Ovis aries: one gene and its partners. The protein of the gene in region 3 interacts with the protein of the main gene of each other region in a biochemical or structural test. Links are inferred from orthologs where the notes say so. Each region holds a gene or a part of one and is shown on either strand. Other genes may lie near its edges. The genes, in order: CDK9, PRKCZ and MBP.

What was found.
Region 1: of the proteins of MBP (region 3) and CDK9, one has a biochemical effect on the other in vitro, tested with the Homo sapiens proteins (2 studies listed by BioGRID). The link is inferred for Ovis aries from reciprocal best matches to the Homo sapiens genes MBP and CDK9.
Region 2: of the proteins of MBP (region 3) and PRKCZ, one has a biochemical effect on the other in vitro, tested with the Homo sapiens proteins (2 studies listed by BioGRID). The link is inferred for Ovis aries from reciprocal best matches to the Homo sapiens genes MBP and PRKCZ.

The regions. Positions count from the first base shown.
Region 1 is NC_056056.1:8,428,189-8,438,698, forward strand, and holds CDK9 (cyclin-dependent kinase 9), read right to left. Parts: upstream 5,418-10,510; 5' UTR 5,275-5,417; coding exon 5,183-5,274; intron 4,703-5,182; coding exon 4,621-4,702; intron 3,824-4,620; coding exon 3,733-3,823; intron 3,380-3,732; coding exon 3,213-3,379; intron 3,099-3,212; coding exon 2,927-3,098; intron 2,764-2,926; coding exon 2,615-2,763; intron 1,871-2,614; coding exon 1,505-1,870; 3' UTR 932-1,504; downstream 1-931. UniProt on the Homo sapiens protein: Protein kinase involved in the regulation of transcription.
Region 2 is NC_056065.1:49,909,418-49,919,746, forward strand, and holds the end of PRKCZ (protein kinase C zeta type), read right to left. Parts: intron 8,747-10,329; coding exon 8,660-8,746; intron 7,325-8,659; coding exon 7,189-7,324; intron 7,012-7,188; coding exon 6,924-7,011; intron 5,868-6,923; coding exon 5,748-5,867; intron 4,708-5,747; coding exon 4,628-4,707; intron 4,281-4,627; coding exon 4,191-4,280; intron 1,760-4,190; coding exon 1,644-1,759; intron 1,437-1,643; coding exon 1,349-1,436; 3' UTR 1,056-1,348; downstream 1-1,055. UniProt on the Homo sapiens protein: Calcium- and diacylglycerol-independent serine/threonine-protein kinase that functions in phosphatidylinositol 3-kinase (PI3K) pathway and mitogen-activated protein (MAP) kinase cascade, and is involved in NF-kappa-B activation, mitogenic signaling, cell proliferation, cell polarity, inflammatory response and maintenance of long-term potentiation (LTP).
Region 3 is NC_056076.1:2,513,063-2,523,472, forward strand, and holds part of MBP (myelin basic protein), read left to right. Parts: intron 1-737; coding exon 738-773; intron 774-1,146; coding exon 1,147-1,179; intron 1,180-4,940; coding exon 4,941-5,060; intron 5,061-9,565; coding exon 9,566-9,610; 3' UTR 9,611-10,410. UniProt on the Homo sapiens protein: The classic group of MBP isoforms (isoform 4-isoform 14) are with PLP the most abundant protein components of the myelin membrane in the CNS. They have a role in both its formation and stabilization.

The DNA of each region.
Region 1 (10,510 bases), on a different chromosome or scaffold from region 3:
CTCCAGAAAGAACCAACCTTGCTGATGACAACTCCAGATTTCAGACTTTTCTCCTCAGAACAGAGAAAGTTGGTTATTCTAAGCTGCTGTGTTTGGCAGCCCCAAGAATCAAATAGGCTAGTCATGATTTTTTTCTTCCTTTCACTTGCCTTTTGTGAAGCTGTGACCCAGGTTAATACCTACTAGGAAAGGACAGTTCAAGTAAAAGGTTTTGCCAACCTTTTTTTCCCAGGTCCCCTTTAAGAGGCCTCCACTGGACAGAATGTAGAAAGTGCTTCACATGTGCCCATGTCAGATTTCAGACTCACAGGAGAGGTATTCCCCAGAGTGTGCTGTTCCTGAGTGTCCCAGCTCAGAGCCCACATGGTCCAAGCTTCTGCTAACTGTTCCCTGTCCTCCTGCCCGCCTGCCACCCCAACTCAAGCTACCGCCACCTCCGCAAGGCCCTGGAGACCCTTCAGCTTGCCTGCTCATTTCCTCTTGCCACTCTCTGGCCAGCAGCCTGAGGACTCTTGCAGGTTACAGATCTGTTGTTATTCCACTGGCTAGAAGCCTCTCCAGCCTTCTGTGGTTGGAAGTCAAGTCTGAACACATCTGTCAGCCAAGGCAGACTCTGCCCCGCTGGGTCACCACTGCAGGTGCGGCTCACAGAAGGTCCCCCCAGTTTCCTCCTCAGCAGACTGAGTCCCGTTTCTCATCTGTCTCCCTGCTTTCTCTGACACTGAGTGGAGAGGAGAATAAGGGAGCATCGTGGTACCTGCCGCTTGGGTAGTCAAAAGAGAAATAAACAAGAGACAGAAGTCCCCTGAAGGTATGTCAGGGGACATGAACTGGGACAAAGGGAAGTACCATGTCCTGACAAATCAAGCCTCAGTGGTCAGCTACAGGGTTAAGAGCTGGCGGTCTGAACACAGAACAAAGCACACAGCCGTTTACTGAAAAAGAGTCAACTTTAATTGTAACTGACCAGCCTGTACCCAGGAATGTCTCTGAACAATCAAACAAAATCAACACGATAAAACTGTCCTATCGAAGAAACCAATAGCTTCCGTCGGCCCCAGAGATTCTGAGGGCTAGGCTGAGAGCAGCCCGTTCCCATTCCTGAGGCTGGTTCTGTGCCCCACAGAAGTTTCTCATCCCACAGGGAGGGCCAGGGTGGGTGAGGGACCAGTCCCCTCCTCCCAGCATGCTGGGGTCTCTCAGAGTCACCGGGGGGGCATGCCTCTCCCCCCACCCCAGTCCTGCCCTAAGGTAAAGGGAGGCCCTCTGAGCGTCACTGCCAAAGCCAGGGAACAAGGTGGGCAGCTCAGGTGCCTTCCTGGACTCTCCACCAAAGTTTTACTCCAGTCTGCTCGGTTGGTGCCCGACGCCCAGGGTGCGGATTAAATAAGATATGCGCTAGAGGAAAAACTCACATGCCCCATAATCTCCACGCTGCAAGTCACAGAGCAGAAGAAAAAAAACCAAAACCACGGCCCTAACGAGAAGCAATAGCAGCCAGCCCTCAGAAGACGCGCTCAAACTCCGTCTGGTTGGTGGTGGCAGGATTCCGGCTCTGGTTGGTTGACTGCTGGGTGATCTGGCTGCCCTTCCGGCGTGGAGGTGCCAGGTACTCGAACATGGATGTCAGGTGGGTGGAGAGCATGCCCTTGAGGTCCGAGGGCATGGGGTCGGACCAGAAGAAGTCGTGGTTGAGGGCGTCGTCACTGTCGATGCGCTGGGCGGGGTCCAGCACCAGCAGCTTGTCGATGAGGTCCAGCGCGTAGGGGTCTCGCACGTAGGCCTTCAGCCTGTCCTTCACCTTCCGCTTCTGGCCCTTGACCAGCTCCACTTTCTCAAACAGCTCGTACTTGTCCACATTTGGCCACACCTGGGGTAGGGGGGAGGCATGGAAAGAGGGGAAGACTAGTTCAGCAGGGTATGTGACTGATCCACTGGTCAAGTATGTAGTGACTGGATACGTCTCCGTTCAGGACATCCCTGGTGATCCGATGGTTAAGAACTGCCTACCAATGCAGGGGACACGGGTTCAATCCTTGGTCTGGCAAGATTCCACATGCCATGAAGCAACTAAGCCCGTGTGCCACAACGACTGAAGCCCGGGTCTAACGCCAGTGCTCTGGAGCAAGGTAAGCCCCCCGCACTGCAACTAGGGAAAGCCCAGGCTCAGCAGTGAAGATCCAGAGCAGCCAAAAATAACTAAGTAAACACGTACAACTTGCTCAGATGCTTCCAGACCACCCCAGAGCCCTCTGCGGCCAAAGCAGCAGTAACCACAGATGGGACACAGGCACTGAATACCAGGCCCTTTGGTGTGAATCGCCTGGGAGATGTGTGCCAAGTGTGACAGAACCACAGATGTCTCACGGCAGAGATCAGCCCTGAGGTGAGGTGCTCAAGACACCTTGCCGGAAAACCCCAGGAACCAGGGACGCAGCCCAGACCTGACGTCGCCATGGCTAACAGCAGACTGTAAGCCTCCACCAGCCGCCTGTCCAGGTCAGGGTTTTGCCTCTGTTCCGTGTGCCCCTCCTCCCCTGCCAGGGAGCCTCCCCCACCCCTCTCGAAGGTGTGTGGCCTTTGGGGGGCCCCCAGGAGGCAGGCTGCGACGCACCTCGGGGGTGATGGAGCCGCAGAGCTGGCTGATGAGGGCGAGCTGGTGCTGCTCCGTGTTGCCCTGCATGATGGGGCTGCGGGTCCACATCTCCGCCATGATGCACCCAGCACCCCACAGATCAATGGGGGGGCCGTAGTCCCGCTCCCCTGGGAACAAGAGCACACCAGGGAGGGCCCCCTGAGCCCCATGGCCTCCTGAAAGGCCACGCCCCTGGGGCCGATGGCTCAAGAAGCCCTGGCAGTTGGGGTGCTGAGACTGAGCTGAGTGCCCAGCCCCTGCTCCCCTCTGCCAGCTCGGGAGAGTCCTCACCGAGCAACAGCTCTGGGGGCCGGTACCAGAGGGTCACCACACGGTTGGTGTAGCGGTTGGGCTGGCTGTTCTTGGCCAGGCTGAAGGCCCGGGCCAACCCAAAGTCCGCCAGCTTCAGAACCCCATCGCGGGTGATGAGCACGTTAGCCGCCTTCATGTCCCGGTGCAGGATCTGCAGGAAGCACAAGGCGGAGGGTTCCCAGGGATCCCTTAGCCATGCCCACCCCGCTGTGAGCGCAAAGGCCAGCCCAAGCCCTGCTCTCTCCTCCCCAACTAGGGCCCCCACCTTGTTCCTGTGGATGTAGTAGAGGCCGTTAAGCAACATCTGCATGACCCTCTTGATCTCAGATAGTGTGAACTTGACTAAGACGTTGCTCAGTAGCCCAGCAAGATCATGCTCGCAGAAGTCAAACACCAGGTATATACTGCCTTTGCAGCGGTTATAGGGGGAAGCTGAGGCAGGAAGAATGAGGAGGAGAGAGGGGGAGGCATTAAAAAAAAAATCAGAAACCTTACATGTAACTCATTTCCTCCAAACTAGCTCCCAACCCCTCCAACCCATGGCCACCCCGAATATCCGGGTACAAATTCCTTCACAGGTAAAACATTTTCTGAGTGCCTTCTCTGGGCTGGGTGCTGTGGCAGGCCCTGGGGAAGCACCTGCTCCGATGAAAAGACCAGAGAAAGCAGTCACAGTTGGAATGTCTGGGTTAAGAAGAGGCAGTGTAAATGTGTCCAGTGTCAACTCCGCAAACAAAGCCTCAGTTTTTCCATCTGAAAATGGGAACATGATCCAAACAACTTACCTTTGGTTCGACAGATCTCAATCAAGTTGACCACATTCTCGTGTTTTAGAAGCTGGAGGATCTTGATCTCCCGCAATGCTGTAATGGGGAACTGGGTGGGAGAAAAGACAGGAGGAAGTCAAAAGTGGGTGAGCACACTACAGACCCAGGAACTGACCATGGGGTCCACGCGAAGGGTCATAGGCTGGGAGACAGTAAATGCACAGGCTCTGGAATTAGCTGTCTCAGATGTCACATATGTAAAACGGGAGTAACTATGTACGCCTCATAAAGAACTGAATGAATGAATCAAAATAATTCAATGAATGATCCGAAACAGTGACACTTCACACAAAGGTTCTGTTACCAGTCATCAGACGCTCCGCAGTTTCTTCACCCTTATAAATTTTAGCCCTATGCCTGCATTTAACCTGCTTGGCAGTTAACAAATATATAATTAAAGAAGCTGGTCTCTGGAAAGCTGAACCAGAACTAACACACGTGTGTGGCAGGAGAGACTGTTGCTTTTCAGCTGAATACCAATCACCTTTTCAAAGCCATTGCATGTAATTATCATTATCATATATATATCTTTTTTGCGTTCAACAAAATTAAACCCTAAAGAAAAAGTCTTTAACGACTTCCTAACTTCAAAAACCTAGGGGCACTGGGTACAAGCATGGGCTCCCCCGCCTGGCACCAACCATATTCACCCAAGAATGAAGTATCAAAAGCTCTAAGACATCTGAATTCAAAGACTGAACTGGGAAGTCAAACTTCCTGGAATATGGAAATTTCCAAACACCTAATCTGAATCTATTACGTTGAGAGTCCCCAAACCAGAAAGGTGGAAACGCAACCTCACGCCCAAAGGAGCTGGGAGACCTGCCCACCCCACCCCATACTCACCCCCTCTTTCTCGTTCTCCATCAGTACCTTCTTCAGGGCCACCTTTTGGCCGGTCTTGCGGTGCTTTGCCTTAAACACCTCCCTGCAGGCGGAGAGGGGAGACCCAAGAGGGCTCTTAGAGGACGTTTCCGCAGAGCCCGCCCCTCCCCCACCAGAGGAGGCCCGGAAAGGGAATCCCGGGCGGGGCTGGGCCGGGTCCCTCACGGCACTCGGCTACCCCACCACGCGGTGACTCTGGTCCCTTCTCGAGTCTCAGCCTTCTTCCCTCTGCTCCTTGCGCCTCACTCGGGCGTCTCGCAGAGAGATCCCGCACCACTCACAGGCTCCTCTCTGCAACCCCTCCCTGCCCCCCCATTAAGGGCCTCAGGCTCCTCCCAGCCGGCCGACTCCTTCAGGCCCCGGCGGGGTTGCGGTGCGGCCTAGCGAGACCAGGGGATAAGTTTGCGTCTAAGTGGCTTCCCGACCAACCGGGCCCGGGTCTGGGCGTCCCGACGTCGGCCCGGAGGGGTGCAGGTTCAGGAGGCTCCCGGTCCCTGGGGGTTGAGGGGGGGCCCAGCCTTACCCGAAGGTGCCTTGGCCGATTTTAGCGAGCTTCTCATATTTGGTCACCTCATCACAAAAAGGGCACTCCACCGAGTCGTACTGCTTTGCCATGGCTGACTCCAGTGCGCCGCCGCCGCCGCCTCCAGCCACCACCGCCGCCGCCGCTGCTGCCGCCGCCGCTCCCGCTCCGGGTCCCGCCGCCGTGCTCCAGGCCCCTCCGCGGCCGCGCCACTTCCGCCTCCACGGCCACTTCCGGCCTCGAGGCGCCGACCCCGCCTCTTCCGCCCGCCGCCCGCCGCCAGGCCCCCTGGGACTTGTAGTTCCCGGGAGGCCAGGAGGAGCCGAAGCTGCAGAGGCGCCTCCGCCACCGCCGCTGCCCCCGCCTCCGCCGCCGCCGGCGCCGGCGGTGGCCCCGATCGGGGGCGCGGGGAGCCGGGGCGCCGGGGCTGGGGCTCGAGGTGGTGCGTCCCGCTGCATCGGCTCGGGCCGCCGCCGCCGCCGCTGCCGAAGCCGCTGCCGCTCTGGCGCCCGATCCGGGGCCAGCCGCAGTGCCCTGCTCCTCCTCCTCCTCCGACGGCGCCGCCTCCGCCGGGCTGCGCTGGGCGCCGGGCGCAGGGGGGGTGGGGGGGCGGCCCCCCGAGCCGCGGCCTGGGGGCTCCCTGGCCGGGCCCGGGCCCGGGGCGGCCGGGCGAGGGGGCCAGACGGAAACAGCCGATGAGGAGGCGGCCCGAGAGCCCGGGAGGGGGCGCGTTATAAAGGGGGAGGTGCCCAGGCCTCGCCCTCCCCTCCCCCTCCGCCCGCCCCCTCCCTCCTCCCTTCCACCCTCAGCGGCCGCACCTGCCGCCGCCGCCGCCTGCCTCCCGCCCGCCCGCCGCCCTCGGCGCGTCACCGCCCGCGGCCCCTCCTCCGCCTTCGGAGGTGGGGCCCCGCGCTCAACACCTGGCTTCGGGGCGCGACTTACCGCGTGCCTCAGTTTACCCGCACATGCCAGCCGCAGCGGGGAGTCCCTTCCTCCCCGGCTCGGGATTTCCCCACCCGCTCTCACACCCCACTCTACGCAGGCGAGGACTAGAGGTGCCGAGAGAGCGGCCTCGGGTCCGGGGAAGGGAGAACGGGCCCCGACCGCCGCCTCCCCGGGCCCCCGCCGACCCGCCGTTGATATGGCAACCGATAGCCGCCAGGGGGCGCGGCGACATTGAAGGTGGTGAGCCAGCAACGCCTGGGCCTTCCACTCCTGGATCCCCACCCAGTTCTCTGGGAGACAAGAGATGAGACCCACAGGACTTTGGTTCCTGCCGAGCTGCTCCCTAACTGGTCGCGCCCCGGGTTAGTAGTCACAAAGGTAGCCGGCATTTCGTCGGCCCCTCTTGTGTGCTCTGGAAGTGCTGGGCATTCCTACTGAATCCTGAATCCACCGCCCATAGTCAGGATCACTAACCAATTTTACAGAAGAGCACATTGAGGCTCGGAGAGGTGAGGTCATTTGCTCAAGGTCTCACAGTAATAAAGCTGGGACTTGAACCTTGTCTGTCTGAATCCGAAGAGGATTCTCTTGACTCCGGCTATTTACAGTCTGTCCAGCAGTATAGCAAGTGGTGCTGTTTGAGGCCTGCTGTTGTTATGCCAGGGTACCAAGCCCACCACCGTCCACCATCTCCTTTGATCCTATGCCTGCTTCTCCTACCCTGGCGCTTCTTCCCCAGCAGCTTTCTGATACATTCTGGCTCCAGGAGCCTCCTGTATCTCCTTCCAGCCTTTGACACCCAGCCCTCAACAAGGCTGCCTTCAGACCTCCTCTCCACCCCTCTTCAATTTGCACCCCCCACCCCAGTCCTCCACCAATGGATCTTAAGACCTGTCCTCCCCAGTCTGTCCCCTCCATCTGTCCCCCTGCCAGCACCCATCAGATCATTCTGAAGTGATGTCTGTATGTCTTTCTCTCCACTGTCATCAGGAAAAACCAAACTGTGACATTTGAGGCTCGAAGGAGATCAGCCCTGGGATTTCTTTGGAAGGAATGATGCTAAAGCTGAAACTCCAGTACTTTGGCCACCTCATGGAAGAGTTGACTCATTGGAAAAGACTGATGCTGGGAGGGATTGGGGGCAGGAGGAGAAGGGGATGACAGAGGATGAGATGGCTGGATGGCATCACCGACTCGATGGACGTGAGTCTGAATGAACTCCGGGAGATGGTGATGGACAGGGAGGCCTGGCGTGCTGCGATTCATGGGGTCGCAGAGTTGGACCTGACTGACGATTGAGCTGAACTGAACTGAACCGAACCTAGGCTGTGGCCACACTGCTTCCTACACGCCAGGGCCCCTTGCCTTCAGGGCTATGCTCTCTGGTTGCACCACTGCCTTCTCTTCTGCCAGGAAGGTTCCTGGGTTGCTCTCCAGCTCTTAGCTCACATTAGGAGTCAGGAATGGGTCTGGTAATCCTGGTGTCCCAAGAGACCCTGTTCTGCTGGGAAGCAGGGGGACTGCCCGGGAAGGTCTTCAGGATCAGGTGAGGAGCAGAGAGCCCTCTCCTGAAGGCAGTGTGGACCAGCGAGGGTTTGGGGCAGGTCAGGGAGTGATCTGGGGTCAGTTTCTTGGGTACAATATTAGAAGCAGGGTGACCATTGGCTAAATTGGGGGTGGGGAGAGCAGAGAGTGAGAAAATAATAATAACTGTAGTAATTATAGTTTATGGAGTGAAAATAAATGGTCCAAGCTGTACACTTAGCACTTTATGGGAATTATCTCAATTCTCACTCAGCAATATTATACTATTATTACCTCTGTTGTACTTAGAAGAACACTGGAACTCAGAGGTGACGTCACTTATTGTTGTTGTTCAGTTGCTAAGTCATGTCTGACTCTTTGTGACCCCATGGACTGAAGCCCACCAGGCTCCTCTGTCCTCCAGTATCTCCTGGAGTTTGCTCAAATTCATGTCCACTGAGTCCGTGATACTATCTAACCAGCTTATCTCCTGGAGAAGGAAATGGCAAACCCAGTATTCTTCAGTATTCTTGCCTGGAGAATCCCATGGACGGTGACATCATTGGCCAGGGTCAAATACCTGGCCAGTTGCCACACTGATATGTAAAGCCAACAGCAGCCAAAGTCTGGTGCCAACCCCAAGCGGTTACCCATGTCAGGACTCTGCCCACCTGGGCTGAGGGTGGAGCAAGGGCACAGTCATGGCACAGCATCGCCAGCTGGGTGGCGGATGCCAGTGGGAGGTGTGGGAGGAGATAATCGCATTGGGTGGGAGGGGGGAGGTCTGTGTGGGTTTGGGTGGCTTCCACCATCAGATTCTCAGGCTGGGGCCCCTGCTTGTTTCTCACAAGCCCTCTCTAAGTTACATCCTGTGGGCAGAGGCCTCAGCAGAAGTTCCGGTGGTGTCATCACCTCCACCCTCCCCGATCCCTGGCCTGAACCCTGACATTGCCAGTCACTTCCCCTCAGGGCGTCGGGCCCTCAGCCCTCCCTGCGGGATGATGGCAGGCAGGAACAGTCAGAGCCCTTCAGAAGGCTGCCCAGTGAAAGTGAGAAGAAATTAGATCCTAGCCAGAAACAACTTCTCACCAACTCTGACTTCTTCACTGGCTGGAGGGAAACGTTTCCTGTTTCCATGGATCGGTTAGGCTGGCAAGACCAGGCCTGTGGCCAGTACTCCGGAAATATTTGCTGACTGACTGACCAGGCTCTGAGAGAGCCTCTGGTCCTGCTGCCATTTAGCAGTTATGGAAACTGAGGCACAGAGTAGGAAAGGGAGCCCCTGGCCAGCTGTTTGACCTGGACCTTTGCTCTCTTCCCCGACCAGGAGCAGGGTGCAGGGCATTTGGAGGGAAGAAGAAGGGCTCCTGGGGGGGTGCACTCTTGTTGCTGATCTACCTGGGGAGACAAGGGGTCACCGGATAGGGGGACATAGAATAGAGAATGGCTGGGTGATGTCCGCAGCAATTCCATGGACCTTCTGCCCACACCAGGTAGGTACTGACTGCATGCCTGGCCCCATGATGTATGTCAGACCTCTGGAACTTTACAGCACCTGTCTTAGAAAGCTGCTGTTAGGGGACTCAAGTTACAGAAGAGGAAACAGTTTCAGAGTGGTAAAAGTGGCCTGCCCAAGGCCATGCAGCCAGGAGCTATGGAGCTGGGATTCAAAGCCAGGTCTCTTTGGCCCCCCCATAGAAGACAACTGAGGCAAGCCGTGAAAAGATATCTACTGAGTCCTACAGTTGGAGCAGGCCTGCGGCCAATGTGGAAGCTTGAGGCCAGTGCCTCTGACAATGCATGAGGTCTGTTCAGAACATGCATATAAAGACACAAGTGAGGGACTTCTCTGGTGGTCCAGTGGCTAAGACGCAGCTCCTAATGCAGGGGGCCTGGGTTCGATCCCTGATCAGGGAACTAGATCCCATATGCCAAACTAAGAGTTTGTATGCCTCAACTAGAAGATTCTGAATGCCACAACTTAAAAGATTCCTTCTACAGGAACTAAAGATCCCATGTGCTGCAACCAAGACCCAGGGTAGCCAAGTAAATAAAAATATTTTTTAAAATGACGACACAAGTGAATGTAATACAGATAGTATTCTCAGTGTAGACGTCTGTTTTCATGGCCACAGGATAGTGTGAGAGATGTTGAGTTTGTCCCATTTGATTGATGGGAACAATGAAGCTCAGAGAGGTGACATGACTTGCTTAAGTTCAGGCAGGTGGCCATCTGGACTCAGGTGTGCCTCAGTACAGTGACTATGACATTGAAAGGCTCCAGTCTCTAATTGTCCTTGGCCAGATTGCTGACACCTCTGTCATAGACTGGGGAGGGGAGGACGGAGGGGCTAGAAATCTGAGCAGGGTTCCTGGGGCACTGTGGCCCAGTCTAGATCACAGGGACTCAGTGGAGAGAAAGACGAGCTGGTGGAGGGGTGCATGCATTCCGAGTGTGGGTCTAGCCCAAGCAGAGGCCTGAGGCTGGAAAGCGCTCGTGTGTTCAGGGCTGTGGAGTGGGGTTGGGCTGGCCTCCAGCGCCGGCTGAGGAGGGCCCGGGGACAGCCACCGGCCAGCAGGTCCCCAGCCGCACTCCCAACGGCCACTCGAGGCGGCACAAAGAGGGCTCTGAGCTCAGTGGAGCCGCCACACTGAGCAGTCACACTGAGCCCCATTCATTCTCCCAGGGATGCGGCAACTACCCTGGCGCCTGGGCCAACGGCAGGGCTAGCCTGGCGCAGGCAAGGCCCCTCCACCACAGCAGCACAGCCTCGCCCTGGCCGTGGCTGGGACTCCCGAGTTTCACCCAGTGTGCCTGCCCCAGGGTATTCCTGACCTGAGCCAGTCTGCCCCTGGCCT
Region 2 (10,329 bases), on a different chromosome or scaffold from region 3:
CCCACCAGGCCCAGGCAGCCCTGAGTCTGGCCCAGGGTCCCTCACTTCCATTTTTGGGGGGGGGTGGGGAGGTGCAAGTCTCCACGTTCTAGAGGTGCTGCTCTGCCATTGGGGCCTGGCTGGGGTGCCCAGGGAGTCTGGGGGTACCCAGGGAGGCTGGTGTGTCTGTGCAGGGTCAGGCCAAGCCAGCAGCCTCTTTATTTTCAACTGTTATCTGCCCCAAGCCACTGCCACACTGGGAGAAGTGAGGCCCAAGAGTGCATGGCAATGTGGGACCCACACCCACAAAGGACATCCAGGGACCACTGTCCTGAGGGTGCACAAGGCCTTCCTCCCCACTCTGCCTGGCCTGAGCCACACTTGACAGTATCAGGGACTTAAAAAACCCACATGATTTACCTCTTTATAAAAAACCTTGGGTTCAGCTTTTTACCTAAGAAGGAGGGTGGCCCGGGCTCATGGGAAGGAGGAGGTGAGCCCCACCGGGAGGTGCACCCTTCTGAATGTTCTAAATTTTATTCCTTTACTTTAAGGCTAGGGCCCATCATACACATACCCTTTTAAAATGTCTAATTCTGAGCATTATTATTCCTGATAAAAATACTCTCCAAAAATCTGATACATAACACAAGACATAATGTAGGCACTGCTTAGTGTTTCCAGAAATATATTTTGTGCAGATTTCTTTTTCAACTTTGTGGGTTTTTTTTTTTTTTTTTTTGGTTTGCGGGTACTTTGGTGAGCCTTGTTTTAGAACCTCTATGACCCAATTTTCCTGGTCAGTCTAAGGCCCGGGTTGGGACCGATAGAGCCCATCTGGTGAAGGTGTGACCTGGGCATCAGACCACAGGAACTGCTGACATGCTCGGTATGAAAATACTTGTTAAATATTAACAACAGGAACTTACCAGGATTTAGAAAATGTTCCGAATTTGTATAAACTCTCCACTGCACAGGCACTTACACTCCGGCCGTGCCTCCTCCGCGTGGGCCGCGCCTGCGACTCTGGGCGGGTGCCCCCCGCGGAAAAAAGGCATCAGAGGGAAGCGCCAGCATCAGAGGGACACTTTATTCCTCGGGACATTACAGGCCAACTCCCGGTGGAGCAGGTCAGTTCTGCTTCTGTGGAAAGTGTGCACCTTCGAAGTTGGGGGCAGTTTCTCCCTCAGACACGGTCACCACGGCCCCCGCGGCGCAGGCGCGAGAAGTAAGTTCCTCTGGGCCTGAGGCCCATGGGCCACACCTGGAGGCCGTTCTGCCCTGGGCACCCGCCCACGCCCGGCCCCGCATGCATGCGCAGGGGTCAGGGCCAGGGCCGTCCACGCGTCCACGATGAGAGCGCGGCGCCTCACACGGACTCCTCAGTGGACAGCAGCAGTGGGTTGATGTACTCGAACCCTTCAAACTCCGACTGGTCGATCCTCTTGATTACGTCCCTGTGGCCCGGGACAGAGCAGGCTCGGTGGGCGTGTTCAAGACCCGGCCCTGTCTCGCACCGCAGCTAAGGACGCCCCACCCCTGCATGGGATTCCTCCTCCCAGCAGTTCAGGACGCCCTGCCTCCACCTGGGACTCTTCCTCCCCGCCCCTGCAGCTTGACTGACCCTGCAGCTCAACCCCACCCCACCGTAGTGCAGGCCTTACTCATCGTCAGGAGTCAGCTGCACCGGCTCGCTGGTGAACTGCGTATCAAAGTTGTCCAGGCCATAGTCGTCCGTGATCTGCGGCTGGAAGGGCGGGAGGGCCTGCTTCTTCCCCAGCTGCAGGAAGATACAGTCAGAGCCACTTGCGCCGACTCAGCGCTTTGCAAACTCAAACCACAGAATCAAACAGAAGAAATGGTGCTTAAGTATATACGCCTCGTTTGATGGCCAATTGTTGCTCTCTAAAGTGTAGGAGAAATTTCCGCCGAAGTCAGAAAAACTCTACTTGAGCTGAAAAGTGCTGGCAGCACAGGCCATGAGAGACATACCCCACGCCATCGAGGGCCTGCAACCCTGCTCCTTAAACCAATGGAGGCTGGCTTAGGGAGCTTTAATCTTGGAACCCCAGTGGTAAGAGAGCTGGGGCTTGGTAGGGATACCTGTGTTCCACTGGGACCCCTCCTCCCGAGACGCCTTAAGTGGCCATTTCTAGTATTCCTAGACTAGTATTCCTGATTAGTATTCCTAATCCCAAAGGGATGCACTTGTCATCTTGGGGGTTGAGACATGGTGGTGTCTGGAGAGGGTGGAGTCACATGGAGGAGGTGGAGCAACTCAAGAGTGGCTCCAATCACTGAGGGGGGGGCATGGGCCCCCAGGTTCACACACTCTTTACCTCCTCTCCCCTCCCTCCACCAGGTGTCTGCTGCACACGGGTGCTGGGCCAGGCCTGCTCCTCAGACCTCAGAGAGAGCCACACTGAGGCATGGGGGTGCCTGCCTGGAGGGACCGTCCCCGTCACAAGGGAATCTGGAGCCAGAGGATAGCCAGCCCTCTAGTTGAACCACTGTGCTCTCACAGCCGGGACAGCTTGATTCAGGGGGTGGATGACCTCGGCCTTTCAGGACTGGCTGCTGCCTTCCCTTGGAGGGTCCTGAGTGAGCCAGCCTGGAAACTCCCACCTGGGTGAGGCCTCCATGTGACCGGGTTGGAGACATGGTCCAAGGTCCCGTGTAGGGAGACAGCTCCAGCCAAGTCAGAAATAAGCCTCCAGTCCACCTCAGCTCATACCCTGTCTTTGCACTGTGGGGTCAGGGCCCTTAGGAACACCACTTATGGCAACAAAAGCAAACTGGGCCCGGAAAGTTGAAACAGGTCCCATAACTTTGGGGGATTTGGGAAGCTGAACACACAGGTTCTGCTAACGAAGTTGGTGCAAGAAGTGAGAGTGTCACAGAGATGAATCCCCCAGTCACGCCCGGTAGTGTCAAGGCTGCAGCCAGCACACCCAGGCCACCTGGAGAGGCACGCTTATCTCTGTCACCCAGGGGATGCAGGAGGGGGGTGCGGAACAGAGGGGATGGGCTGATCCCACTGGCAGAAGGGGGCTACCAGTGTGTGTATGTGCATGTGTGCAGGTGCCCACATGCCCATGTGCACGCTGCGATCCCAGGGCCCCGGGAGCTGGTGGGCATGGCCACACCCTGGACACTCTTCTGGGGACATAAGGCCTTCCCTTCTCCCTCAGCCTTCTGTCAGGCAAGTTTCCATATTCTTGTTAGCATGAAATATATTCAGATAAAAAGGGGAAAAAGAAACATTTCTCTTGTACTATTTTCCCTACTTTAGGTCTCAGGCTGCTTTAAAAAGATTTAAATAGCAAGTCAGAACAGACCATGAGGAAAATGCAGCCAGGTGCTGGCCCGGGGTCTTCCAAGGCCACCCCCCATCCCTAACCTAAGAGCCTCATGGCTGCTCAGCACCTGCCCCTACCCCCACCCACTCCCCGGGAATGTCACACACAGTGTCACCTCCTCTGCTCTCAGTGACAAGCAGTGAACTGGAACGGTGCTGCCCTAGAGCGACGTCCCAGAGTCCCGCCACTTAGCCCTGAGGTGTGACGGGAAAGAGGAGGCCCAAAGGGGCTGGGAGTGAGCGTGCTGAGGTAGTCTGAAGGAGGTGGTGGGTGGAGGTTGGGAGGGGCAGAGCTGTGTCATTGCCCTGAGGCAGGAGTGGGCCTGGCAGCGAGGGACTCCTAAAGGCCCAGTGGAGGAGGCGGCTGCTGGCAGGGCCCACGCAGGAAACGGGGGACTGTCCAGGATGTGGGCAGCTCAGACCCAGGTAGCAGCATTGGGGTGGGAGAAGGCCCAGACCCAGAAGGTTGAGTCCCCAGGACTGGGTGGGTCAAGGGCCACTGTGGGGGGAAGGACCACAGCACACCTGGGTGTCTAGTTGGGACTAGCTAGATGGTTAAGTGAAGTATCTGTGAGCTGACTCAGGGCGTGGACATGGAGCTCAATCAATGGGTGTATGGCTGTGCTCATCCACACAAACACATCCCCACAGGACACCCAGCACAGCATGAATTGGACGCCCCAGCAAGGCTGCTCTCAGGACCTTCAGGAAGCACTGCCCCCAGGGCCTCATCACAGCCCGCCTCCTTGTTTTCAATCAGTGTTTCCCAATGCATCCCCATTTCCACCCATCCTGCCCCCTGGAGGTCCCTCCCCAACCCGCGGAGGTGGGTATCCGGTTCCAATCACTTTACCAGGTCCCAGTCTATACTGCGGAAGAAGGCATGAGACTTGATATCGGAAAATCCAGTCTGCGGCCGGCAGCCAAGCCTCTCCTTGGGGTCCTGGTGTGTCAGAGTTCAAATGAGGACAAGTCAGCACAGAGCAGGGCAGCCCTACTCAGTAGCGGGTCTTAAACAGCACCAACAAACCACCCATGGCCGGCCCCCCACCCAGGTGAAACTGCTTCCTCCCAGCGGGTTAAGCTCCTTCAGGAAATGCCTCTTCGGCATAATTTCTCCTCATTAGCTTTTGTCAAGGTGAATAAGCAGCCACAGGACTAAGGAAGGAAGCAGAGTCACACCCACGTCCAGCACTAAACTAGCAGACCAGGTGGTAAAGCCTCAACCTCAGTAGCTGAGGAAGGGCTGCGGCCATGGCCACTGGGGTGCCACGGGGGCCACAAGCGTACCTTGTTTAAAAATCCTTTCAACACGTGGGAGGCCTTGACGGACAGGAACCGGGGGATCCGGATGGGCTTCTCCAGGATGACTGCAGGACCGGAGGAGAGAGTTGTTCCTTCTCCTGGCCCTCCTCCAGCTCCCCCTCTTCGACCCTAGCCTGTCAGCTCTTCCCAGCAGCCTGCAGGGCACTGGAAACCTTTTCTGGGCAGGAGGGTCATGGCAGTCACGGTGGCCTGGGCCTCTTCCTGCACCCCAGCAAGGTCTCCAGGCCTCAGAGGCCCTGGTGCCCACGATCAGGCATGCTATGATCAGGGATGAACCAATGGCAGCTCAGCTGGTCCTGTGTCCCCATGTCCACAGGCGCAAGACAACACTGTGGGACACCTTCCCCACATCCACAGGCACAAGAGGGCACCATGGGACAGCCTCCCCACGTCCACAGGCACAGGAGGTCACTGTGGGACAGCCTCCCCACGTCCACAGGCGCAGGAGGGCACCGTGGGACAGCCTCCCCACGTCCACAGGCGCAGGAGGGCACCGTGGGACAGCCTCCCCACGTCCACAGGCGCAGGAGGGCACCGTGGGACAGCCTCCCCACGTCCACAGGCGCAGGAGGGCACCGTGGGACAGCCTCCCCACGTCCACAGGCGCAGGAGGGCACCGTGGGACAGCCTCCCCACGTCCACAGGCGCAGGAGGGCACCGTGGGACAGCCTCCCCACGTCCACAGGCGCAGGAGGGCACCGTGGGACAGCCTCCCCATGTCCACAGGCGCAAGAGAGCACTGTGGGGACAGCCTGGGCCAGCATCCTGGGGGCAGTCAGTTCTGTTCCAGGGGCCCAGATGGCAAGAAGCTGAGGCTGAGCACAGCCCCCGTCGGGACTCAGGTGCATACTGGAGGTGGGGAGAAGGGGGCCTGGGCCAAATCAGGACAGATTCTTTCCTGTGGATGTGAAAGAGCAGTATCCCCCTGCCCACTATACTTTGCTCCCTGAGAGCCAGTAGTGGACAAGTGGCCCCACCTAGTCTGTGGCAGCCACGGCAACCAATCAGGAGACTCTTTCACCCCCACTTCTAAAAGGGGAAAACCCGCAGGGCATGGAGGGAACGGGACATATGGCCCACGCACCTTGGAAAAGGTAGTCTTCAGTGTTCATGTCAGGGTTGTCAGTGATGATGTCAAAGGGGGAGCGGCCTGCCATCATCTCGAACATCAGCACGCCCAGCGCCCACCAGTCCACGCTGAACCCTGAGGGATAGCCAGGCTGGTCAGGCCAGAACTCTCCATTTGTGCTATCCAGTCACAGGGCAACAGCTGTGACCTGGACCTGGACCACAGCTGAGGCTGGGTGTCCCCAGCATCTCCCAGGTGGCCTGGCCTCCACTCTGTCCATTGTCCTGGCAGTTGCAAAGCTGTCTTCATGTCAAGGAAGCCCAGGGACAGCCAGCCACCCCCGATGTCCAAAGGTGTGCAGCTCTGTCACACACAGGACCCCCATCCTGGGAAGGCTATAGACTCTGCTTTGGACTACGGCTGCTGTCCATCCTCGTTTGGTTACTAAGTGACTTCAATCGTACTGGCCTCCCGGGTGCCCAGGGATCGGAGGGGGAGAGAACCTGCTCGCCCTGCTACCCCCCAATTTCAATGGCAAAGAAAATATGTGGAAATATTTGAAAGAGTATTTGTGATGGGAAAACAGCAGAACCCCAAAACGCAGAGGGTGTGCATCTCATTTTCATTTCACATCCAGAAAGTGTGTGGACGCACTCCAGTGTCACAGGGGCTGTGGGTGGTTCTGGTGGGTTTGGGGAACCCACACTTATGGGCGGCACCAGTGGCGTGGGACCTCTGCTTGGGGCCTGTCTTTGCATTGTGTTCTCCTTCCCAAGCCTTTCAGGCTCCTTGACCAGAGGGATCCTGTCCAGTGACCTCCCCAGGGCACACTCAGGTGAACACATGGGACAATAGCTGGGACTGAGGCCAGGTGATGACCTGGGGCTGGACAAAGTAAGGGTGTGTGTTTTAGTGCAATTTAGTCAGGAAACCCTCTTCTTGGCAGCTGGGTCAGCTCCCCAGAGACCCTGGTGAGGACCCTGGCAGGGTTAGCCCCACTAGGACTGCCTCCTTCCCTCTCTGCTCCATCAGAGTCTCCGGCAGAGGCAGCTCCCAGGGCTCAGGGTGTCCTCGTCCACTCCCGCCTCAGATCCAAGTCCCTGGGCAAAGGAGGGGCCCAGGGCTCGGGGTGTCTGGGTGTCATGGCCCACTCCAGACTCAGAGCCGAGTGCCTGTCCCACCCATGCTTACCATACTCTTCTCCCCGCAGGATTTCGGGGGCAATGTAGTTCGGGGTTCCACAGAAAGTGCTTGTTGTATCACCAGGGCCCAGGCCTTCCTGTGAGGACAAAGCCAATTACCAGGAGGGAGGGCATGCCCAGATACGCCCCCACTAGTGGGAGGACTGTGGTCACGTGGAGGTGCCAGAGACCAGGCATGGGTGAGACGGAGTGGGTGCCAGGCTGGCCACGACCCTGGGAGGCGGGCGGGCGGGAGCAGTGGGCGGGATGCTCACCTTGCACATGCCGTAGTCCGTCAGCTTGATGTGGCCGTCGGCGTCAAGGAGGACATTGTCCAGCTTCAGGTCCCGGTAGATAATCCCTCTCTCGTGTAGGAAGTTGAGTGCGATACAAATCTCAGCAGCATAGAACCTGGGGAAGGGGCAACACCTGTCATCAGCAGAGAGAACCCAACCAGGAACCTGGATAGGAGGACACAAGACGTTGGAATTCTCCACTGATGAACTCATGGGCCAATAAGACTGGGCAAGACAGGTGGGCCCACAGGACCGGGAAAGACAGGCAGCATCCCCATGGTCAGGGAGACACAACCCAAACCTACCATGAGATACCACCTCACACCTACCAAGACAGCCACTATACAACGGGCCCCCCATCCCCTCGAACAGAAAATGACAAGTGCTGTCAAGGATGTGGAGAAACTGCAACCCTCATGCACTGCTGGTTGGGATGAAAATGGTGCAGCTGCTGTGGAAAATAGCTTGGAAGGTCCTCAAAACATTAAAAATAGAATTATCATGTGACCCAGCAATTCCACGTCTGTGAATAACTCGAAATAATTGAAAACAGGGGCTCAAATGGGTATTTGTACCCCCTTGTTCACAGCAGCTAAATCATGGAAGCAACCCAAGTGTTCATCGAAAGATAAGGATAAAATGCGGTCCATTCCTGTGATAGAATAGGATCCAGCCTTGAAAAGGGAGGAGGTGCCGACACTGACACCTGCTCCAACGTGGATGGACCTTAGGCCATGACACAGAGTGAAACAAACCAGATGCAGGAGGATGCATCCTATGGGCTTCCACTTCTCTGAGGTCCCTGGAGGCGTCAGAGTCACAGAGACAAAGTAGGGGTGTGTGGATTGTGGGAGGGGATGTGGAACGAGTGTTTTACGGGGACAGAGTTTCGGTACAGGAAGAGGAAAAAGTCCTGGTGATGAAAGTACTGGAGACCAAGGTCCTGGAGATGGTGGTCGGCATGGCTGCATAGCACCGTGAATGTGCTCGATGCCGCTGACCGTGCACTTAAAAATGGTTGAGGTGGAAATTTTATGTTATGCAAATTTTTCACAATTAAAAAAGGAGAACATGAGCGTGTGGGGTTCTTGATTTATTACTTGCCTCTCCCCAAAAAGGACCTATGGTGACTCACAGTGCCACATGGAATTATTTTTAAGTGAGGAAATGAGGAAAAGGGAAAAAAGTATGGGAAAACAGGAAAGAGATGTGTATGGGGTGGAAATAAACGCCCCACCCACCTGTGAGGTCGAGGCTGTGGGGGGTGGGTGTAGTGGGGCGGGGGCAACGTGGTCACTGTCCCTGAGAATCATTTAGTAACAGAGATCATTCTGCGGAGGCCAGATGGCATCACTGTGTACACTGTGCGCCGAGGGTCAGGACCAAGGCCGGGTCACTCCCAGGACCCTCCAGGCTGTGGCCTGCCCTCCCCTGCCCCAGCTGCACCCACCTGGCGTGCTCCTCTGGCAGCTTCCTCTGCCTCTGCATGTGGAACATGAGGTCGCCCCCGTTGACATACTCGATGACCAGGAACAACCTGCAGGACACACAGGCTGGGGTCACCCTTGTCCTGAGAGGCCCAGGCAGGCAGCAACCAGGCCATCCAACTCTGGGGTCAGTGGCAGGAGCCCCTCAGCTCTGATCCTGATGAAATAAAACTTGAGAGAGAAACTCTCGTCCACCACTCAAATCATTCAACAGTTATTTACTCTCCCAATGATGCCTTTAGAGGGCTTCCCTGGTGACTCATGGTAAAGAATCCACCTGCAATGCGGGAGACCTGGGTTCGATCCCTGGGTTGGGAAGATCCCCTGGAGAAGGGAACTGTTACCCACTCTAGTATTCTGACCTGCAGAATTCCATGGACAGAAGAGCCTTGGCAAGCTACAGTCCATGGGGCTGCAAAGAGTCAGACACGACTGAGTGACTTTCACTTTTCACTTTCAATGATGCCTGGCCTGCCTTTGGGGTAAAAATGTAAAAATAAGGCAGGGCCCGTTGGCCGGGGGCTCACTGGGGCTGGGAGGGTGCTATGTGGCTGGTTGCTGTGGGAGGCCTCCCCAGGGAGCAGAGGCCTGGATGGTGCATACGGAGAGGTGGAGGAAGGCAGAGCTGAGGGACCACCCTGCAAGTACAGGGGCCCAACTCAGCTGGAGAAGCCAGAAGGCCGGGTGCACCAGCTGGGGGATGCCAGTGACCCTCTGGCCACTGTCTGGGTGGACCTGGGGCAGGGAGATGGGCAGGCTGAAGGAGAGGAGGTGCTCAGCCTCCTGGTGTGGCTGGCCTGGAGGGCCTGAGGCAGAGCCCACAAAATGGCCAGTGGTGTAGGCAGTCGGGAGGGGAAAGGCTCGGTGGAACCACGGGAGGGTCCCGTGCACCCCTCCTGTGGGACCCACCCCAAGCTGCCTGCAGGTCCAGAGGAAGAGGGCAGAACATGCTGACTTGGCCACTGGGAATCTGCAAAGCTACCGGCCTCCCAGAGGAGGGTGGGGTTGCTGGCTGGAGGGGCCTGTGATTGACAGGCCTCTAGAAGGGTGGGGGTGCTGGTGGGAGAGGCCTGTGATTGACAGGCCCATCCTCTGGAGGCAGGCAGGGTTCTTCAGGTCCCCAAACAATTTACCTTGTGGTTTCTTTCCTTGATAGGATCCTCCTCACATTTAATAAGGTTCTATTTTCAAAACTAAATTCACACATGATTTCCCTGAAATGCCCTGCTGAGGCCAGCTTATGGATTTTTAGGTCAACAGTTCCTCTGGGTATGGAGGGGGGTGGCTTTCAGAGAGTTGAGAACACAGAGGGAGCCCCTCTGAGCACTGGCAGCCCGTCTGCATCACTGGTGCGATGATGGTGATGCCCCACACGTGGAGCATGTGAACAAGCTACAGACCGCCCACCAAGCCTCTGATCACATATTTACACGAGAAACAGTTCCTAAACGCATACAGCAGACATGGAGACTGAGGGCTGAGTACTGGGGGAGCAGCCAGAGCTTTCCATGTGGTCCTGCAGGGCAGTACAGCTCTCATACTTGGAGAGGGCCCAGTGACCCTGACCCTGACACTGGGCGGTCTGCACTGTAGCTGTTTTACTCACACATTTGCCGGTGGTTGCTTTCACGCT
Region 3 (10,410 bases):
ACAGCTATAACCCTCAGGAGGGTGGTCAACTGGCTCACCAGTTGTAACAAATGGACCACACAGAAGCCAGGGGGTGGGCTGTGCAGAGGACAGTAGGTAATGACAATGCTCTGCAGTTACTGTGCAATTTTTCTAGAAACCTAGAACTGGCTCTAAAAAAAATAAAGTCTTAAAAACAAAAGCAAAAGCACAGGCTCTATTTATAGACCTCCTTTTTCATGACGATGAGGGCTTTAGGGACCACACACCTGAGGGCTTTCCTTTCGAGGCTCCTAGTACCTGGGGCCCGTGACTGCCGACCCCAGGGAGGGTCTCTGTGACGCTCGCCCTCTCCATCAGCATGTGACAGGGACTGTCCCTGGAGCGCCAGCCACAAGGGCTCTCCTCGCTGAGTGCAGGGCCCTGGGCCTGTTCACATCCTCCCAAACACTTTCCGAGTGTTCTGGACGATCCGGGTGCCACTGGGTGCTTTCAGATCCTCAAATCCTATGTTTCTCCCTCACCTGGTGTCCCAGAACAGGACACAGAACAGGGTCGCTAGGCAGAGACCGATGGGTGGCTTCTTACACCGTTGGTGCCAGACCCTCCCAGCAAGCAGCTCCCTCTAGCTGGGAACTGGAAACGAGCCGGGGGAACACAGGGGTGACAGGTGGCCACAGGAGGCCCTGTCGAGGCGGTCAGGGCGGCGGTGAAGGAGGGACCACGCCCCAGCTCCGCGTTCTCCTGTGTCTTTGCAGGTGACACCTCGCACACCTCCTCCATCGCAAGGAAAGGTAAGCGCTCTGCAGGCACCGAGCCGCCATCGCTTCACCCTCCCGGAGCCCCTAAATGGGCCAGACGGCGGGCTGGGCTCTGGGCTCCCTCATTTCTCCCCAAAATGTTCTGCCACGTGGAGCCCACGCAGAACTAGAATGGGCTGAGAAACGCTTGCCCCAGGCAGATAGCACTCCAGTCCCCGCCCTGCCTGGATCGGAAGTCCTCCTGGGCGGCTCCGGGCGGCCGCGGCCACGCGCAGGGATGCGCTGTCTGATAAAACCGGTTTCCTGCCTCAGCTCAGCGCTGCTCTGACCGTGCCTCCTGCTGTGAGAAAGAGCGCCGGGCCTGCACTGACCCCTGTGTCACTTTCTCTTTCTCTTCCTCACGCAGGGGCGAGGACTGTCCCTCAGCAGATTTAGCTGGGTAGGTGCCGAGCGCCCCGCCCTCCCCTCCCCTCCCCCGTCCTCCCCTCCCCTCCCCCGTCCCCTCCCTCTCGGAGGCTCCCGCGTCCACGTTCCTTCCATCCTCCCGCTTTTGCCCCAGCTGCTTCCCCCCACAGCAGGCCCTTCCTTCTAGCTCCGCCAGCGCTCCTGTTCCCTCGCCCCGGGGCCCACGCACCGAGGGGCTCCTAGGAGACTCTGCTGGACTCTCCCCAGGAAAGGAGGACCCCCGTCTTTGAGAAAGTTCCTGACTTCCTTCCAAAACGGTGGATGAGAAAGTCCAGTCCCTGCAGGCTGCCTGCGCACCTGTCCAAGTAGCTAACCCCACCCTGCCGGGTGTTGACATTCTGTTGAGAAACAATGATTCTGCTGACAAGACAAAAGGCTGCTGAGTTCAGTTGCTCAGTTTATAACAACCTAAGTGATCCAAAAGATTTTGGTTTGGGTTGTGATTTAGTCATAACTAAAGCTTAGATACCAAGCCATCCAGAAAAACCTTTTTAGGAATTTCTGAGAACAAAATGTCCATGAAAATTTTAAAGGGCTCACTTGTTCAGCTTCTAGTAAAATTTGGTGTCTACACCAACTTCTAATGCTGATCTGTATTTTAACCAAATTACCTTCTAGTAAAGGCTTCCCTGGTGGCTCAGTGGTAAAGAACCTGCCTCCCAGTGCAGGTTCTTTACCACTCAGGTTGGATCCCTGGGTCTCAGGAAGATCCCCTGGGGGAGGGCGTGGCAACCCCCTCCAGTATTCTTGCTTGGAGAACCCCATGGACAGAGGAGCCTGGTGGGCTCCCATCCAAGGGGTCTCAGAGAGTTGGACACAACTAAGGAACCAAACAGCAGTATTTACCAGTAAATATTAGATACAGTTTTTACTTGATCAGATTTCCAGAATAAAAAGAGGCCCACTAACCTCTAGGCTGGGAACTGTGTCTGTCTTGGAGACAGAAACACATTCTCCAGTGTCCTTGGAGACACAAGATGTCTCTCCCACAGAGCCTGCATCTCAGTGATGCACGGTTAGTAGGCAACACAGAAATGAATGCATGAATTTAGAGAGAAAGAAAGAAGAAAGGGAAGAGGGAAGAAGAAGGAAGGAAGGAAGGAAGGGGAAGGGGGGAGGAGGGAGGGGAAGGGGGGAGGAGGGACTGCAGTACTGGAGAAGTACCGCACAATTCGGTAAAGCAATTACCCGTCAACAGAAAGTAAATACATTTTTAAAAAGAAGGAAGGAGGGAGGGAGGCGTCCGCCCTCAGAGAAAAGGCAGAGGAAGCTTCCGGGAACCGTTCCAACACATGATGACTGCAGTGTGAACTGAGAGGTTGCTGGGACATTCATACAGATACACGTGAGCCTATTTCCGATCTGATGAATTTGCAAAGAGTGCCGATGACGTAGAGAACTGACTCGGGCCAGCAGCCACAGACAATTAATGAGAGACTTCTTGTGCCAGCAGGAGAAAAAGGTGACACTGAGGAATGAAATCCATTTCTGACCCAGAAATCTTCCTTCAGTAACTACTCGACCTGCCTCGTAGCTTTCTAGGCGTGGTGGACCAGGGCAGAGCCGCTGATGACCGGGAGTGATGGGGGAGGAGACCTTCTTTCTTCCCTGTCGGTTAAGGCCCCTCCAACCCGGCAGCTAATAGAATGGCTTTGCATGCCTCTCCATGTCTCCATTTTTGTTCCCACTAACCCGTTAATTTTCTCTTTTTTCCAAAGCAAAATTCTGCTCTGTGTTCCGTGAGTCGGTCTGTTGGTTTCCGAGAACCGCATGACTGTCTTCGTTTGGAGATCCTGAAAATTTCACGAGTTTTCTAACTATGTTGTATGTTTTTCTGGCAAATTCTAGGTTGTCCAAAGATACAAGTGACCAAAAATTTGAAAGGAGAAAATTAAGCAGATTATCAATCTGAAAACCAATCCTTGAATTTTATTCTCAGAAGCACTTTATTCTGGAGAAAATCAACAGAGTTAGAGCATGACAGGCTCGCGTGGGACAGTGCGGCTTTTTCCCATGCTGGTCTATCCTTCGGCACAGCTCTCTTTAACTGTCCTTGGCCCTGAGACCCTGACCAAGGGGGTGTGTCCCTGGAAACTGTGGGTGCGAGGGCAGCAGTGGGCGCCCCTCGTGTGTAGTGCCCAAGATTCGCACACTCGACACCCCTTGAGACCAGATTTTCACGTGAAAGTGGTTGCCTCATTCTGAGTGGCCAGCATTTTCCCAGCATCTGTTTCTGGCTGAAAGCAAAGGAACCCACAGAAGTAGCGCTGGGGCGGGGCGGGGGGAGGGTGGGGGCCTAGACAGGTGGCCCTGGCCCAGCTTCAGTCCAAACACGAGAGAGCTGGCCTGCAAGATCCTTGAAGCTCCTGGAGCCCACCTCCAGCACTTCTGAACCAGAGGGATGGACTCTATGCTTCCCGAGCTCCCTCCAGCCCCACAGCAGCCTCCTGAAACTGAAAAGGACCACAGGCTGAGGCCAAGGGCTGCTTCCCAAGCTCCCTCCAGCCCCACAACACCCTCCTGAAACTGAAAACAACCACAGGCTGAGGGCCAAGGGCTCTAGAGCTCGATCAGAGATGGTTTTACTTCATTTGTAGAATTCTCAGGAGAGGCCCAGGCAGAGATAGTCCCGCTTCTTGTTGGCAAAATGTAAAGTGAGATCCCAGAGCCTGTCTGTTGCATGAGATCTGAGTGAGGGACGTGCACCCCAAGGCGCTAACATCTGAGCCCCAGAGTCCCCCTTCCTTCCCGCGCTCACAGTGCAGGGTCCCTTTGAAACTAGAGCTTATACGAGTGCAAACTGGCCCCAGAGACACACGCCTTTACATTGCAGTAACTGTGTGTCGTTGCTACCTGCAGGAGGCTAGCTTTCTCCATCTTCCCCGAAGTGAGAGGGGTCCCCCCCAGAGAAGCTGGAGGCGGAGGTGCGGGCTGCCTGAGGAGCCCCCTCTGCAAGCTTGAGAGTTCAGAGCCACAGGCTCCAGTCTCAGAGCAGGTCGTCCATCATCTCATCTCCCTGTTACAGAAGAGGAAACTGAAGCTCAGAGAGCTTCCGACAGTTGCCCGAAGTCACACAGCCAGGGAGTGGGGTTGCTGAGACCCACCCCGGTTGCCAGCCCTGGGACGGTGCCCAGGTGCACAGCTGGGGAACATGGCTTCCCATCCCACCCCTCTCCCTCTGTGGTCACCAGCCCGCAGCCCTGAGCCCCTGGAAGAATCCTGGTCCATCCACACTCAGGGCACCCACGGCGCAGCCAGGGGAGCTGGTTCTGGCCTGCAAGAGGCCTCTCCTAGCTGGAGAGCTGGGCATTGTGTCTTTGCCCTTTAAAAATGGATGAGCCCCCAATTCCCCAAGTGTGAAGGCTGCTGAGCCCCGGGGGAGCTGGCATGAAGGGTCTGTGCCAAGGGCCAGAACAACCCTGGGGCCGGGCGTTGTCTCTTGGGGTCCTGTCAGGGGCGTGGCCTCGCCCACCCTTCTCCAGCACAGTCCCAGCGCCCCTCCCCCCAGTGCGTGCAGATGAAGACTCTGGAGAGTGTATGTGACTCTGGCTGATCCACCCTGGGACCCGCTCGGCCAGGAGAAGGGCAGACGCTGCCGCAGGGACGGTCCCACCCCCCGCCGGAGGCACCGGGTGCCCAGTGTGTCGCCGAGCGGCCGCTGAGGCCGGATGGATGTGGACCGGGGCAGGGCCACGGGCCGTGGGCACAGACCGCGAGCCTCACCCTCTCTTGCAGGGGGCTGAGGGCCAGAAGCCAGGATTCGGCTATGGAGGCAGAGCATCTGACTACAAATCGGCTCACAAGGGACTCAAGGGGCATGACGCCCAGGGCACGCTTTCCAGAATCTTCAAGCTGGTAATGTACCTTCTCCACATGGGAGGCGCTGGGAGGGGTCCGGGGATGAGTCTGGGACGGCCTGGGGATGCCAGTCTCCAGCCCCTCCACCTGCCGCTTCTCAGGAGTTGCTCCTGCGCATCCCAGCCCTGCCAGGTGGCCGTTTCTGCAGAGCTCACCTGAGCAGGTGCTCTACCAGGTGCTAGGCCAGGGTTCCTCGGGAGCTTGAGGACAAGAGGGGTCGTGCTGGACCCCGAGAGGCTCAGGGGCCTGGAGGGCACCAACCCATCTGGAAGGTCAGGTGGCTCCCTGGCCGGGGCAGCAGCACTTTGGGCCCTGAGGGTGACGGGAGGGAAGATGGCTGGATGGCAACAGACCCTGGGAGCCTCAGGCATCTGTCCTGCTGATTCACACTGGAGCTACACGTCAGGTCCCCCGGCCTCCCTGAGGCTTCGTCTCTCCTCTGTGAGTCGGGGGGATGTGTGGGGAGCTGCTCTGACAGGAGGGCTACCGTGCTGTCTGCCCAGCTCCCTGCCCAGACCCCCTCAAAACAGCCGGATCACAGTGACACGTCAGCCCTGCTCAGAAACCTGAGATCTCAGGAGGGGCTGATGGGGACAAGGCACAGAGTCCCCAGGCCTGAGCAGACGGAGGACGGAAGGGAAGGCTCTGGACTCGGGAGGGGCAGACCCCAGGCAGTAACCCCTCACCCCAGGCCCCTCAGACTCCTTCCTCCCACAGCTACAAGCAGGCAGAGCTGTCCTGAGGTGAGAGGGATGGTGTCCCAGGTCCAGCGGCCAAGCTCACCTGGGAGGAGATGGAACACCCTGGAGACAGAGGCCCTGGAGCCAGGACGCCCAAGGGCTGGTCCAGGCTCTAGTCTCCTCAGACAGAGTAGACACGGCTGCCCCAGTGGGCAGGGCCCAAATGCCCAGACAGTCCTCGAGAAGGTGGAAAGGAGCAGCAGGCTTAGAGCTGGAGGGGCTCGGGAGCTGAGATGAGCCTGTGGAGCCACAGCAAGCCTCTCGAGCAGTTGAGGCCATTTCCACAAAGATTCGAGGCTCCTGGGGGGCCTTTCATCCCTGATAATGGAACCACATTTGCACGGCGGCCTGGCAGGAAGGAACAAACGTCACCAAATCCCAATCCCACTGGTTTTCTCATTAGAGCATCAGCCCAGCCACTAGTTTCACTGACTCTTGACCCAAATGAGGCCATGACTTCCCTGCTGATGTCCAGCTACAACTGCAGTCCTGACTCTTACAAGGGTCCGGTCAACTCCCCTTCCAGCTGGAAGACGTGTCATGAGGAAGACAGACACCAGCAAGGAAAGACACAGTCCGTGTGCTAAAGGAGGAGCGGCCGCGTGAGGACGTGGCACTCACAGTGCCCTCAGGGCCGCAGGACCGCCCTGCACCCTCGGGCATCGCGGTGCCGGCGTCGCTGCCGTGCTCTCACCCCACGCGGCAGCTTCTTCCACCCGTGCCCCGGGCCAGTGGCCCCCCGGGGGAGACCTGTGTTTCCATGGACTCCTGTCCCAGGTGTCCGTGGTCTTGGATGAGACCAGGAGTGCCTCCCGAGGCTCACCCGCTGGCTTACTGCAGGTCACAGCGTGATTTCACCTGAGAAGGTCCTGTGGTCTGTGGCGAGGCTATGCCACCAGGAGACCAACAGCCCCACGCGCCCCGTCCACGGGCTCAGGCCCCACCAGCAAAGCGTGATGGCTCCTCAACCCCACTCACCTCTGACCTGCAGAAGAGTGCTTCCTGCTGAGCTCGTTGAAACGTCGCGATTTTACAACTTACGGTGAAATGGTTTGGTCGGGAACACAAAGACTCGTAGGTTGGTCACCTAACTAATTCTGCATCAAGTCCCGTGTGTGTGTGGCACGTCCAGCGGTCGGGGTACACAGACGGCCGCGACAGACACAGCGACCTAGGCCCTGAAAGGTGCTGGACTCTGAAGGTGACGAGAAGCAGGACTCAGCTTTGAGGAGACTCAGTCTCTTCAGCAAGACATTTAAATACATGAAGTGAGCGGTGAGTGACCCACTGCTAAGTTGGCTGGTGTCAGACTCAATGTGGGCAGGACTCAGTCTTCAAAATATTGATCCTGAGGCAAATCTGATAAGGAGATAAATACTATCCCAAATGTCCAAGAAACAGAGAGCCTTACGATATACGTGTCTTGATTCTGAAATGAGACGGCGATGACGCATGTCCTGGCGGGGCTCTGGGTCTAAACCCAGAGCTGCGGTGTTTCCATCAGGTCACCTGCAGTGTCCAGACCATTTCTGATTCCCCAAGACTTCTGGACCAGAGCGACCAAGGGCAAAACCCAGATGTCTGCAGTTGGGACGATGTCCATCCTCATCAGAGTTTCTAACACCAGCTCACCTCTGCTGGCTGACTTTGGGGAAGTGACTCAACCTCTCTGAGGAGCTTCAGCTCCTTCAACTAGCAAACAGGGATGCTAAGAACATCCACCCACCTAGGCTGGCTTGCTTGTTCACAAGATGAAACAGATGTCAGAGGTTTAGATCACAGTAGATAATAAATTGTAGGCACAGTAATCGAAAAGAAAAGCCATAAATATGCCATCTCTTATTCAAAAGTTGCCCTTAGGGTGTTCAGTGGTGTCTCAGGTAAGGTGTTTGGCAAATAGAGTAGGAGGGGGACTAAGCCCGTCTCAGCGTGCATGTGCTTGATCAGATGGGGCAGCGGTCTGCTCTTGTGGACGACTGACTCGCACTTTCCAGGAGGCCCTAAGGTTAATCTCTCTGAAATTCAGGACAAGGGGGGGCCAGTGCTGCCTTGCTCAGGGCTACTCCAGGAGCAGCTCTGAGGACCAAGCACCCAAAGCCCAGCCAGACTCACCTGGGACAAGACCCAGGTCCCTGCTGAAGGGCTTGGCCCCGAGGCTGGGGAACAAAGCCCCTTTCCTGCAAGGGGAGTTATCTCTGAATGATGCCTGACATCTCCCGAGGCTAGAATTCCACAGACTTCCCCACACGTGAAAATAAAATGCGTCCAGTGAATCAGCAATGGAGGAATGTTTTGGGGGAAAGCAAAATTGCAAGAAATCAGAGCCATCATCTTTCTTTTGACCGAGTTAGCTATAAGACCTGGGGCCTTGTGTTTCCATTGCCTAATCTCGGGGTCACGTGGGGGACACAAGACGTGGACGAGGCCCGTCTGTCATCAGATCAATAGCGTATTTCATGTTCATCTTTCTTTCCGGGGGCTCACAGTCTCAAGGGGATCTTTGAGAGATCAAGTTTTCATTCATAACCTACGAGAAAAGGGAAATCCAAAAAGAGACTAAAATTTGAATAAGAATTCAAATGCAAAAAAAAAAAAAGCACCTTCCTCCAAGTTCACCTAAGTGGCACCTAGGGTGACAGTTGCCTTCTCGAGCCAATGCCCGGACAAGCTCCCTTGTCTCCGTCATTCCCACTCGCTCTCTCCACTTCCACCATTGCCAGCTCTTCTGCAAACCGTATTTGTCCAGAAAACATGGCAACTCTTGTTTTTTTAAGACCCTGAGGTCAGAGTCTGTGGATGGCTCATCTGGGAGGCTGGTTTCCTTGGTGATGCAGGAGAGGGCTCGAAGGTGGGGTGGAGGTCGCTCCCCGGTGAACCGAGTAGGGCTGTGCTCTCAGCATCCCAGCCTCACGCAGATGAGCCCATCCCAGGCATCGTTCATGGACCACTTCCTGCAGTCCCTGGGAATCTCTAGTTTAAATGTCAGGGGAGTGTGTAATTTCCTCGGTTCTGTCTCCTCACAACAAAGATTTGCAGCAACGGACATTAAAGCCTTCAGCGCATCATAGCTCTCAGAGAGTGTTACAGTGCCGTATTACAGCTCAGTTTTATTTAGAAAGTAAAGGAAAATACATCCTCGCGAAGAGGAGAGAGAGAGAGCGCGCGCACGCTGGAGAGAGACCGCTGGCCCTGTGGCTCCTCTTTTTCTATGTCTTTCCCTCCGCCCGGGCCTGCCCTGTGTAAACTGGGCCAGCCAGGAGTGCTGTTTGTTTCGCCTGAGGTCCTCACTCCAGTCCTCAGACCTTCCTTTGTTCCATTTTTACGGGCTTTTCCCTTCCTTGTCTTTCAGCCACCGCCATCTGGACTCCTTTTAGATGGGAGGCCAAATTCTTTGGGAATAGGGGCGTCGGGGTCTTTCTGGCTACTTCCTGCTGAGCTGGGATGGTGAGGGGCATTGGGCCTCCCGTCTCTTGAGGGGGGAATGTTAGGAGAAAACAAGCCCTCCTCTGAGACATTCAATGTGTCAGTGGAGTTTTCACCCCCAGAAGCGCATGGTTCTCAGACGCAGCGCCCACGCGCCCTGTCCTGTTTGCCCAGTGGTACTTGCATGTGCAATGGGATAGAGGATGCTGTGAGACACGGGGTTAGAGGCCAGCCCCACGCAGCTTCATCCCTAGAGACAAGCCCCGAGGGGCGAGGCCCTGCCCCTGGTGACCACAGGGCCCTGGCTCTCCCAACTAACTCTCTGTTTCTTTTTCTCAGGGAGGACGAGACAGCCGTTCCGGGTCCCCGATGGCAAGACGCTGAAGCCCAGCTCCCCTCCCGAACCCCGTCCCCAGCTTCTTAATACAACCGCCTCGACACTAACCATTGTCTAAATTCCCTAGTGCAGCCGGCGCCCCCCCAACCCTGCCCATACGCACGTCCTGCGGGCTCCTGGCCAGTGGCTCAATGGAGAAGACGGTGCAGCTGTCAGCTCACCCTTGGAGATCAGCGAGGTCCCCGAGGGTCCAGGGTGGGCGACCCTCCACGCCCACCCTCTGCCCTGGGACGGCCGTGGGAGCAGCCCTGGGGACCCTGGCGCCGGGCCCCCACGCAGGATGTGGAGACCGACCTTGGCTCTGAGCTTCCTTTGGTTTCTTTCCCGCCTCCTCTCACCTCTTAAAGCACTTCCTTTCCTAACTGATCACAGTGGAGCGGCTTCGCGGCGGGAGCTTTGGTACGTGGCAGGCGGGCGGGCAGCTGGGAGTGTCCCGTGTGGTGGCCACGGCTCACACCCCGGAGGAGCCGGATTGGCGCGTGCGGAGAAGGGACGGGGGGGGCGAACTCGGCCGGGCCTCGGGGGTCCCGCAGCGGCGCCCCCACAACCTGCTTCCTACGGAGCCCGGCCGGAGGGCGGAGGCGGCGCAGCTCAGAGCGGTGGCAGGACGTTCCGGGAGCCTCGCGGTGGCCGCGGCCACCGCGGGCGCGAAGGTGACAGGTGGCATGCTCGGCACGGCGGTGCGCACAGCGAACACTAACCCTTGGGGAGAGATAACCAGCCCACCCGCTTCCTCCCAGAAACCCGCTGACCAGCACACTGGCTTTTCCCGAATCGCTGCCGGGCT